3 linked regions of the Coturnix japonica genome follow. The protein of the gene in region 1 purifies or fractionates together with the protein of each later gene. This does not show direct contact. Links are inferred from orthologs where the notes say so. Each region holds a gene or a part of one and is shown in the gene's direction. Other genes may lie near its edges.

Region 1 (3,652 bases):
AGTTGTAGGGTTATAGCAGTTTTTCCTCATCCAGTTCTGTCTCTGGTATTGTGAAGTGACAAACATCTTCCTGCATTCCTCCAGCTTACCACTTCCCATGCAGGACATGCATTAATTCAGATGTAGTTGCAGATATATGTATTGATTTGACAGCTAAGCCTCCCCTTTGGTAAGGAGAGGGAGATGCCCCAAACAAAACCGGAGTTAACATCTTGTTTTTGATTCTTAACAGTTGCTGAAGACCCTGCAAAATCACTTACTGATTCATCTCCTGGATTTGGGCATTCTTCACCACCACTGCAACCACCTTTAACAAACTCTGTGACTACAGAAAACAGATTCCACTCTCTCCCTTTTAGTTTGACAAAAGCATCAACTACTAATGGTGCTATTGGACACAGTCCTCTGTCTTTATCTGTTCAGTCGGTCATTGGTGATGTAAATACTACACCTAGCCAGGAAAGTCCATCAACAGGAGGCCCTGTTGGTAACTCACATGGTCTTGAAGCAGGTTCCTTGGCTGAAGTGAAAGAAAATCCGCCGTTCTATGGAGTAATCCGCTGGATTGGCCAGCCTCCTGGGGTAAATGAAGTATTGGCTGGACTGGAACTGGTAAATATCATCTAATAAGTTGATTCATATTAGTATTAATTATCTGCTTTATTTTTGAGAGTTGGTGCCTGTGTACTTGGCAGTAGTGGTCAGTCCAGAAGAAAATTTGTCTGAAGTTGCTCTGTGATCTCCTTGTAACACAGATGAAATCTCAGATGGACTCTGACTTTCACAGATGCCCTAGGCCTTATTCCATTAATAGGCTCTGAGGTGGCTTTGTGATGCAAAGCATAATTGAATCAGAAGGACTGTAGGTGACTGATTTGCTTTGTAGGTTACTTGCTTAAGGGGAGTGTCCTTTGTCCACCTTACTTACTGAGCTTGTCACTGAGACGAAAAGCCCCATGCTATTTAAAGGTTCTGCGATATACAGTTCTGTAAAATAAATAAATAAAGTCCCGGGTATAAGAGCCTCAAGTGTGTGTGGCACACCAGCAGGCAGGCAGTGTCAGAGCCTGTCAGCAGAGTTGCAGTACTGATTTTGGTAATCAATGGAAGCATTATTTGTGGTCTGACAGCTAAGTGTTTGGTGTTCCTACCAGCCCTTCACGAATTCAGTTGCTGAAGACAGATGTGTCATATATCATCCACAGCGACGCTGAAATTACTCATGCTTCCAATGCTTAATGATTTCACTTGAGTTCTAAAAGATGGTTGCTTTTTCTACTGCAGAGGGTATCTGGATTAAGAGGGTAGCTTAGTTAAAGTCCTTAAAGTTGAGTAGGTTTAATTCTCGCTCTCATCTCCCGCCTCCCCCACGTTTCTTATGAAGAAAGTGCAATGCTTAATTTTTTCAGTAAATCTGGGCAAACAGCACCTCAGCTGAAGCTTTGTACACACACTGAAAAGCAGCAACATTGCTTATTAAGCTTCAGAGTACTCGACGGGTGATTTCTTGGGTAGATATTTTAATTCAGCATCACACGACAGAATTGTGGAAATAAGGAAAAGCAGTGAATTCTCACTTTAATTTGCAGGAAGATGAATGTGCAGGTTGTACAGATGGAACATTTAAAGGAACCCGATACTTCACTTGTGCTCCAAAGAAAGCTCTTTTTGTTAAACTGAAGAGCTGCAGACCGGATTCCAGGTTTGCATCACTACAGCCAGTTTCCAATCAGATTGAACGCTGCAACTCTCTAGGTACCAAGTTTCTGCTTATTTATTATTTGTCAGCCGGGAACTGACACGGGGTTTGGTTTCATTGAACACTTGGAGATCTCTATTGGCATTACTTAGAGGTTCATGAATAGAAAATCTATCTTTATAGAATATAATGCTTCTCTGGCTTTTTTGTACTTAGTGGTAATTTAAGGAAATGTCATAAAACTTGGGAATTTATGTTGTATTTTTTTACTTCAGAAATTGTGAAGCAGTCTTGCTGAAAAGGGTATTAGCAAATCCAGCAATGTGGGATTGCAGTATCAGAAATAAGCCATATTTCTGTCAAATTATGTTTTCCTAAATACTGATAGAAAAGAGTGTATTTGTACAATGGAAATCAATGGTGGAAAAGCTAACTTTTTTTTTTTTTATTCTAATATTATTAGCTTTCTTGGGTCATGTCATTTTGCTTGGGAGAACAGTAGAGGATAAAGCATCTTGGTATTAGCATGATGGTGCGAACAGGGCATTTAAACTGGGAATTTCACTCCTAATGGGCAAAATTAATTCAGTGCTGCAGGCTATCTGAAGTACTCCTGTGTGCACTGTGTGGAATGTGAGGCCTTGTTCACTTTCTGGAAGAGAGTGAGTCTTATATAATAAAATGCTATTTTTGTCTGGAAATTGAATGTTTTGTGCTAAGGCAGCAGTTTAGCTATAAAACATTAATAGGAAAATCTCAAGGGGGATAAAATTGGAGGCTTTAAAGTGTCTTTTGAAAAAAAAATTTCAGCCTTTGGAGGTTACTTAAGTGAAGTGGTAGAAGAAAACACTCCTCCAAAAATGGAAAAAGAAGGTTTAGAGACAATGATTGGAAAGAAGAAAGGTATCCAGGGTCATTACAACTCCTGTTACTTAGACTCCACCTTATTCTGGTAAGTTCACAATTTGTTTAGTGGCATCCCAAGGTGTGGGTTAGTGGGAGGTATGTTAGAAACACAGAACACGCAATCCTTGTAATGATACTGTTTTTATTGTTGTGCAGCTTAAAAAGTCATACATTACACTCTTTAGCACATACTATGCCCTTTATGTTTGGAGAAGTTCTGCAGGATTTGTTGCTTAACTTGAAGTGCTAACCAGTCACCCGTGTGTCCGAACTCTACTGGCCTTTCAAAGGGTATTTAAAGGGAGCTTATAAACAGGAGGGAAATCAGTGTTGTACTAAGGTAGATAGCAACAGGATGGGGGACTGGTTTTAAACTAAAGGAAGGGACATTTACATTAGATAAGACATCTGGGGGCAGTTTTTTACCTTGAGAATGGAACAGGCTGCCCAGAGAGGCTGTGGATGCCCCATCCCTGGAGCTGTTCAAGGCTGGGTTGGTTGGGGCTCTGGGCAGTCTGATCCAGTACTTGATCTAGTGGTTGGCAACCCTGCCTGCAGCAGGGGAGTTGGAACTCGGTGATCCTTGAGGTCCGTTCCAACCCACACTGTTTTATGATTTATATTCTTGTAGACAGTGTGAGTCAATGGACTTTTGAAGGATTAGAGAATATGTGGGAGGGTCAGAGAGGAACACTTTTAACCTGCTTGTGGAATCCTGCCTTGGTAACTGGTTTTGTATTCTGGTGGTATCAGGGTATGCAGTTAGAGTAGACCTTTACTGCTTGGAACAGCTGTGTTGTCTTGTGTCCATAATGATCTCATTTTGCACTTGTTTTGTTCTTTCATTCTTCCTGTTGCTTTGCTTTGCTTATCTTATGTTATTTAGGCATCAGAATGGTTCTATCTTCAGAATCAAAACCAACCTGCCTTTTTCTTTCTTCCATAGCCTGTTTTCTTTTAGCTCCGTTTTGGACACTGTGTTACTCAGACCTAAAGAAAAGAATGATGTAGAGTATTATAGTGAGACTCAAGAGCTATTGCGAACAG
Region 2 (3,652 bases), on another chromosome or scaffold:
GCAGTGTCCACAATTAATATTTTTCAGAGGGTTTTTCTCCTGGGCACCAATTTTGGAGCTTTTATTATGAAGGTGCCTCATTTTTCTACTTGTCACCTTGGGGAATCACCTAAGGATGATTCTGCTTTACCCTGGTGCCTAAAAATTTTCCATTATGTCACTTTATATTGGAGCACCTACTTTGTTTCTTTAACTTTAGCTAGGAGTGCTTACTTTCTTAACATTTACTGTTAAATGAAATTGTGTGAATATCTTTTTCCTTTAGAGGTTATCAATTGCCCTATCAGCGTTAAAACAAAATTTTTGCTTTTGAGTGAAAAAAATAAAAGCTGATTTTTAAATAAGAGCAGCGCCATGGTGGGGATTTACAGTGCTTAGCTTAATTTCTCTGCTACATAAATTCATCAGGGCAGAACAAAGAAATATTGTATTGCAAATCTATTGTTAGGTGGCAGCAAAAGCTTTCAGTTTGCAGTTGGCTTTACGTACCTTTTCCTGAAAGCTTTTAGTGATGATGCCACAAGTCTTTTATGTGAGAATCAGTGTGAAGGAAAGATCAAGGGATCCAGTAAATTCTGTGGTGCAGCATATCAAATTACTCTTGGGACAGTCAATTAAGTATTAATGTACTAAAGGAGTATTAAAATTATGTCAAAAATGTTAAACTTTTTTTGCGTGTACTACTGCATCAGAAATTAACAGTGGGATAAGCAGTAATATTTTTTTGATACTGCTTTATTACTAAGTTTTAGTCAAGAACTAAAAAGGCTTAAGAACTATCTCTTGTAGGTGACATACTTAAAAAGTGATTACGGATGTAATTTTCCTAATATTATGACTTCCTCTGAGTTTTAAGTATTAAGGCATTTAGACTCTTGTAACAGATCATACAGTCTAAATGAAAATATTATAATTTAGATAGAATAAAGTGAAAGAGAAAAAAAGTACTATAAGCTCTGAGCTCTCTTTGTCAAAATTATTTTTAAAATGCTTTGAGATAATTGGATATTGAAAAGTGATGCATCTGCTATCCCTCCTAGGCCTGTTATATAAGGAAACAATAGGACATTCCCCCTTATGCTAGGTACTGGTTTCGAACTATCACTTTTCAGAGTTAGTTTTCAGCTTCAAACTAACTAGAATTTCCTTGCTTAAACAGGAGTACAGCATTACTTTCCTATCATGGGCTGTCTGTCGGCCACTGTGTACCACGGGGTCTTCACTCCTCTATTGGTACCAAGTATCATTTCTAGTCAGCTTTGTCCACTGAAAAGGGACTTCTTCAGACCTGTCAGAGACAAAAGGCGTAAAGGTTGTCACTTTCTTCTTACCGTGCAGGAGTTTTGACAAAAGGGGGAGGGATGCAGTTATTTAGTGCTTTGCTCAACACAGCAGCATTAAAGCTCTTGCTGGGCTCCTATCTTGCCATCATTGGGAAGAATCAGTTTAAAAGTGGAGTGCCTAAGATGGAGTGAATGTGTAGCTAGAAGTGCTGTCACCGCATAGACTCAGAGATTGTTTTACTTCCCTTATAATGTGTCATCATTAACAGCTACCTTTTGAAGAGAAAGCTGACTTTGTTATTACCCTTCAGAATTTTTTTTAATCATTAGCCACGTTCAGCTACTGTGATACAAGTATAAGGGGTTTCAGAGTTATCAAGTTCTTATGAGTTTTGTAATATCAATAGATGAGAGAAGTTCAAATGATTGCCCTTGCTTAGAGAGTACATGGCTGCATCCTGTTTATTCAGTTTGACTTTCATAGTCCAATCTGCAAGAACTGGTCTTAGGAAATACTGCTTCACTAATTCCTACTTATGAAATGCTTTGTCTCAATAATACTTTCTTATTACATATTAATTTTAAAAATCCATGTTATTTATAAATATGCTGTCATTATCATGTTATTAATCATTCACATTTCTTTCAGTATTTGCATGAGTTAGGGCAACAAAACATACAGTTTTCCTCTTTTAGTTTCTGAATGTTGTTATATTGCCTGTATGTCTTCTGCACCTGTAACTTAGACTTATAAATATTTAGCCTGTGATCAGGGAACTTGATTTAAATAGTGGCATGACAAAAACATTAAGAAAGGTAAACAGAGAAGAAACAAGATGGTGAATTGGAGAATCTGCTAATGTTTTACGTGGTAACTTTATGATTCTGCTAAAGACCTCTAATTAATTGAAAGCAGAGGCTATGGCAAAGATGACTAACATATTATGATTAATGTGGAAGAAGCAAGCTCAACAAGAATATTTAGATGAAGCAAGGTTCAGTTCTGAATTCAAAAGATCATTGAAATGTAATAAATTGCATTTGGTGTTATAAAACCAAACTGACTTCATTTATCATTTCGGGATTATTCCAAGTGAAATGAGCTGATTTCCAGAGAGAGGCATTCCTAATGAACATACTGTCAAATTATTTCAGACTTAAGTTAGCTTAAATCAAACAGCTTTAGAAAACCTTATTTTCTTAGGAAAGCAAATATGAGGTAAAAGGAAGTATATAGAGCTATTTTTCACATGGAACTGTACCTATTAAAAATGAGTTATAGAAAAGTTACGTGAAAAAGAAACAGAGTATATTTCTGATTTCTTCCAGGTAGCAATTACAGTGAAAAATGTGACGTTTTCAGTTGGGGTATTATTCTCTGGGAGGTAATCACCCGCAGGAAACCTTTTGATGAGATTGGTGGTCCAGCTTTCCGCATAATGTGGGCAGTTCACAATGGTGAGTTGAAAATGTTTGACTGCATTTCAAGTTGTATATTTCACCTATAAATTTGCTAAACATTGTGAAGCATGCATTTTTAAATTATTAGTTTTTCAATTCTATATTTAATAAGGACTTCTGTCATAAAGATTAAATATTAAGACACTAACACTTCTATGTTAGTGTGGTTTTTGTGTTATTTGGCTGCTGCATTGTTTGCATTTCCTGCCGCATGTAACCACTGTACAAATACACCGTGGAGAAAAGCAGTACATTTATTACAACTCCCCATTTTAAAAGATTGGACAGTGGTCTGAGTCATGTACTTTAAAAAAAAAAAAGATAGCTCCTTTATCTTTATCCTTTATTAAGTAATTAACCTATATTTTAAAATGTAAAAACTGTTAAATTCTGCAGGTCCTTGGGGAACTATAAATGTCACTTTGTTTTTCAACTGTTGTTGTGTCTTTTATTCTGCTGTTTGAATTGTTTTATCTAGGGTCCTGCAGTCAAGGAGCAGGAACACTTTACTGTACTAGGTATTTTACAGAACCATGTCCCAAGCACTTTAGTATAATGTACAGGAGAAATTATTGAATTAAGATGGACAAAGCAGTGGTACAATATTAGTCAAAATAGTAGATTGTAAAATCTTAATTCTGGTAGTATGGCTTTCTTAACAGAGTACTTTCAGTTACCATGGCAAATCAGAGTTGTAAGAAGAGGGCAGTAATGGTAGGGGTATAGCTAGCTCACTGAATGTCTGCAAAGAGTTTCTGCCATTTGTGAAAAACACCATCAAAGAAAGAATGAACTTGTTTGGATGATCTAATTAACAAGCAAGCAATGATGGCTGGCACTGTGCCTGAGAATTGTAGTCATATTTTCTTTTTTATTTACCTGTAACTTGTTTGTAGTGTAAACAAAGG
Region 3 (3,129 bases), about 12 Mb from region 1:
CACCGCTGCCGGCAAGGATCAGTGCCTGGCCTGCATCGAGGACGCCTTCTTCCCCCCGCTGTGGGCCCCGCTGTTGGCTCTCTACAGGTACTGCAGCCTCAGGGCTGAGCTGGGGGCTGCTCTTACAGCCCCCCCCCACCATCCCCCACCCTGTTGTCCCCAGGATCGTGCACCGGCCCCAGGAGGAAGCCCTGGCTCGCAGCATGGAGCGGCACCGCCACGCCAGCCCCGCAGACCTGGGGCTGTCCCCTCGGCTCTTCCCCAGCACGTCCAGCCGCCCGCCCTATGGAGCTGCCATCGAGGAGCTGCGCCTCATCCCCCTGGAGACGTGTCCCCGCAGGAAGCTGGACTGCATCGGTGGGGGCCGGGGCGGTGTGAGCTGGGCGCTGTGGGTCCATGGGATGGTCCTGAGCGCTGTGCTCTGCTCTGTGCTGCAGTGAGAGCCCTGCGCAGCATCTGTGAATGCGCCGAGGAGTATTGCAGCGCTCCCAGTGCTGGCACCATGTGAGTGCGGGGTGCAGCCCTGCTGCCGTGGGGTGGGGACGGGGGCTGGAGGGTCCCTGTGCTGTGTGTGGGCTGGGGGCTCCCGTAGGGGTGTGTGTCAGCCCGGTGGTCCCTGCTGTGGGTTGTGCTGATGGTTCCTGATGGTTGTTAACGGTACTGCACTGGGTTTGCTGTTCCCGTTTGGGAGCTGCTGGTTCTGTTGCCGTGCTGTGGCCCGGCGGTGCCGTGCTGGTTGTGTGGGGCCGATGGGGCAATGATCCCATCGCCATGGCGGTGGGCCCGGGGTCCTTTAGCCGCAGTGACCGGGGTGTGGGTGCAGAGTCCCCCCGTGTCCCGTGCTGACGTGTCCCCGATGCACGTTGTAGCGGTGCTGACGAGCTGCTGCCCCTCCTGTCGTACGCGGTGCTGCGCAGCGCGATGCCGCAGCTGCCGTCGGAGTGTGCGGCGCTGGAGGAGTTCATCCACGAGGGGTACGAGCCGGGGGGGCGAGACGAGACCCTGCCGCCCCCAGCCCACCGGGTACCGGTGTTGTACCGGTGTTTGTTGTACCGGTGTTTGTTATACCGGTGTTGTCCCGGTGTTATACCGGTGCTGTCCCGGTGCTGTGCAGGTGGCTGCTGGGTGAGGAGGGTTACTGCCTGACATCGCTGCAGAGCGCTCTCACGTTCCTGCGGACCCTGCCCTGAGCCGCCGGCAAGTGCAGCGCTGCTCCCGGCCGGCAGGGGGCGCCGGGCGGGGCGTGGGACCGGGAGGGAAACGGGGCCGGAACCGGTACCGGAACCGGTACCGCGCGGTGTCCGGTCCCGGGCCGCTGACCCGCAGGATGTGCGCGGGCCCCGCGGTGCGGTTCGAGTACCGGCGGGGGCTGCGGCGGGACCACGAGCGTCCCGGCCCCGAGCCGTCGTTCGCGGAGCGGCTGCGGCAGCGGCTGCGGTCGGAGCCGGGGCTGCTGGCGGCGCTGCAGGACGACGCGGCCGTTCTGCTGTCCCGGGCGCTGCGGGGCCGCCCCGAGCCCGGCCCGGCGCTGCGGGGTTTGGCCGCCGCCTTCGAGCTGCTGGAGCGGGCGGCGCTCAACCTCTACCTGTATCCCTGGCGCTCCGAGTTCCGCTCCATACAGGTGGGTGCCGGGACGCGGTGCCGGTGGGTACAAGGAGCGAACCCCCCCGTGCCGCCCCGTTGTCCTTGCAGACGTTCTCCGGAGCCTACGTGCACGTGCTGCGGGCGGCGCTGCCCGAGGCCGAGCTGCTGCGGAGCCTGGCCCGGCTGGGCTACACGCGGCTGGACCAGCGCCGCCTCGCCGTGCGCCGCCCGCCGCCGGGATCCCAGCTCAGCGCTGCCGCCTGCGGCTTCTTCGCCTGCCGGATCGAGTGCGACATCATGGCCGAGCTGCTGCTGCGGCTGCAGCCAAAGCTGCCGAGCGTCGAGGAGCTGCTGGACGCGCGACGCATCGCCGGGGACATGGAGACCTGCGTGGAGATGCTGCGGGAAGCGGCGCCGGGCCGGGACAACGACAGGGAGCGGTACGGGGATGTACCGGGCTGCAGTGAGGATCGCTGTCTGCAGAGGGCACACGGCCCTGAACGTGGTGGGGAGCGGGATGTGAGTCCCCCAGCACTGAACAAGCTGCAGCGGGACCCTGCGGGACTGCAGGGCGTGCTCGGGAGGGACTGGGACGGCTGTGAACGCAGCGAGCTCCGGCAGGAGCTGCTCCCCTGCCCTGCTGCTCCAGACCCTTCCTCCTCTGGCTTCTTGCTGCAGCAGGAGCAGGGGGAGCTGGGCAGCAGCCCCCCGTTGCTCCCCGAGCTGCCCTCCTACCAGCTGCACTCGTGCCTGCAGCAGGGCTCGCTGCCCGCGTTCTGCTGCACCACCTGCCAGCAGCTGCACGCCGGGAGCTGCGCGGCCGGGCTGGCCTGTCGCAGCCGGCACCGCGGGCAGGAGCTGCGCAGTGAGCGGCAGCAGCGGCTGTGGCTGCAGCGCACGGAGGTGGACATGCTGCTGGCTGACGGCACCAGCACCCGGCCATAGTGGGCACAGCACGGCGGTGCGGGGAGCTGGGCCCTGCTCTGCTTCCTGCTGTAAGTGACTCGATGCCTCCCAGTAAAGTGTGGCTGCATCGTGACTCGGTGCTTTTGTTCTGGCAGGGAGAGGAGGCGGCCATGGGGGGTGGAAAACTTTAATGTGAGCCTGGAGAAGGGAAGGCTGCAAGGAGAACTCACTGCGGCCTACTAGGATTTGAAAGGGGATTATAAACAGGAGGGGAATGGACTTTTTAGATGGGTAGGCAATGATAGGACAAGGGAGGACCAAGGTAGGGACGTGGGGCTGATGGAGGCCAGGCTCAGCATCTCGCCTGGGTAGTGCCATAGGGAGTTTTCACCGCCACCGCCCTTTGTATCTGTTTTTATTGACAACAGAGTCAGTGTTGCACCACGCAGCCAGTACAGGCCGGAGCTGGTCCTGCCAGACACCCAGCACCTCTGTACCAACCCCCAGTTCCCCCCTTTCAGTCCATGCCTCCATCCCCCCCCAGGGGAGGAGGCAGCACAGGCTGAATCCCACCCAGTGCTGTGCTCTCAGCTCCATACAGAAGGAAGCCAGCACTATACAACACATGGGCTCTGCTGG

The links.
Region 2: the proteins of CYLD (region 1) and MAP3K7 purify together in Homo sapiens (affinity purification with western blotting; 4 studies listed by BioGRID, with this or other methods). This does not show direct contact. The link is inferred for Coturnix japonica from reciprocal best matches to the Homo sapiens genes CYLD and MAP3K7.
Region 3: the proteins of CYLD (region 1) and SPATA2L purify together in Homo sapiens (affinity purification with mass spectrometry; 3 studies listed by BioGRID and IntAct, with this or other methods). This does not show direct contact. The link is inferred for Coturnix japonica from reciprocal best matches to the Homo sapiens genes CYLD and SPATA2L.

The regions. Positions count from the first base shown.
Region 1 is NC_029526.1:5,107,635-5,111,286, reverse strand, and holds part of CYLD (ubiquitin carboxyl-terminal hydrolase CYLD), read left to right. Parts: intron 1-232; coding exon 233-612; intron 613-1,589; coding exon 1,590-1,755; intron 1,756-2,509; coding exon 2,510-2,651; intron 2,652-3,551; coding exon 3,552-3,652. UniProt on the Homo sapiens protein: Deubiquitinase that specifically cleaves 'Lys-63'- and linear 'Met-1'-linked polyubiquitin chains and is involved in NF-kappa-B activation and TNF-alpha-induced necroptosis.
Region 2 is NC_029518.1:68,414,086-68,417,737, forward strand, and holds part of MAP3K7 (mitogen-activated protein kinase kinase kinase 7), read left to right. Parts: intron 1-2,612; coding exon 2,613-2,741; intron 2,742-3,652. UniProt on the Homo sapiens protein: Serine/threonine kinase which acts as an essential component of the MAP kinase signal transduction pathway. Plays an important role in the cascades of cellular responses evoked by changes in the environment.
Region 3 is NC_029526.1:16,724,989-16,728,117, reverse strand, and holds SPATA2L (spermatogenesis-associated protein 2-like protein), read left to right. Parts: upstream 1-1,297; 5' UTR 1,298-1,327; coding exon 1,328-1,621; intron 1,622-1,692; coding exon 1,693-2,529; 3' UTR 2,530-2,623; downstream 2,624-3,129.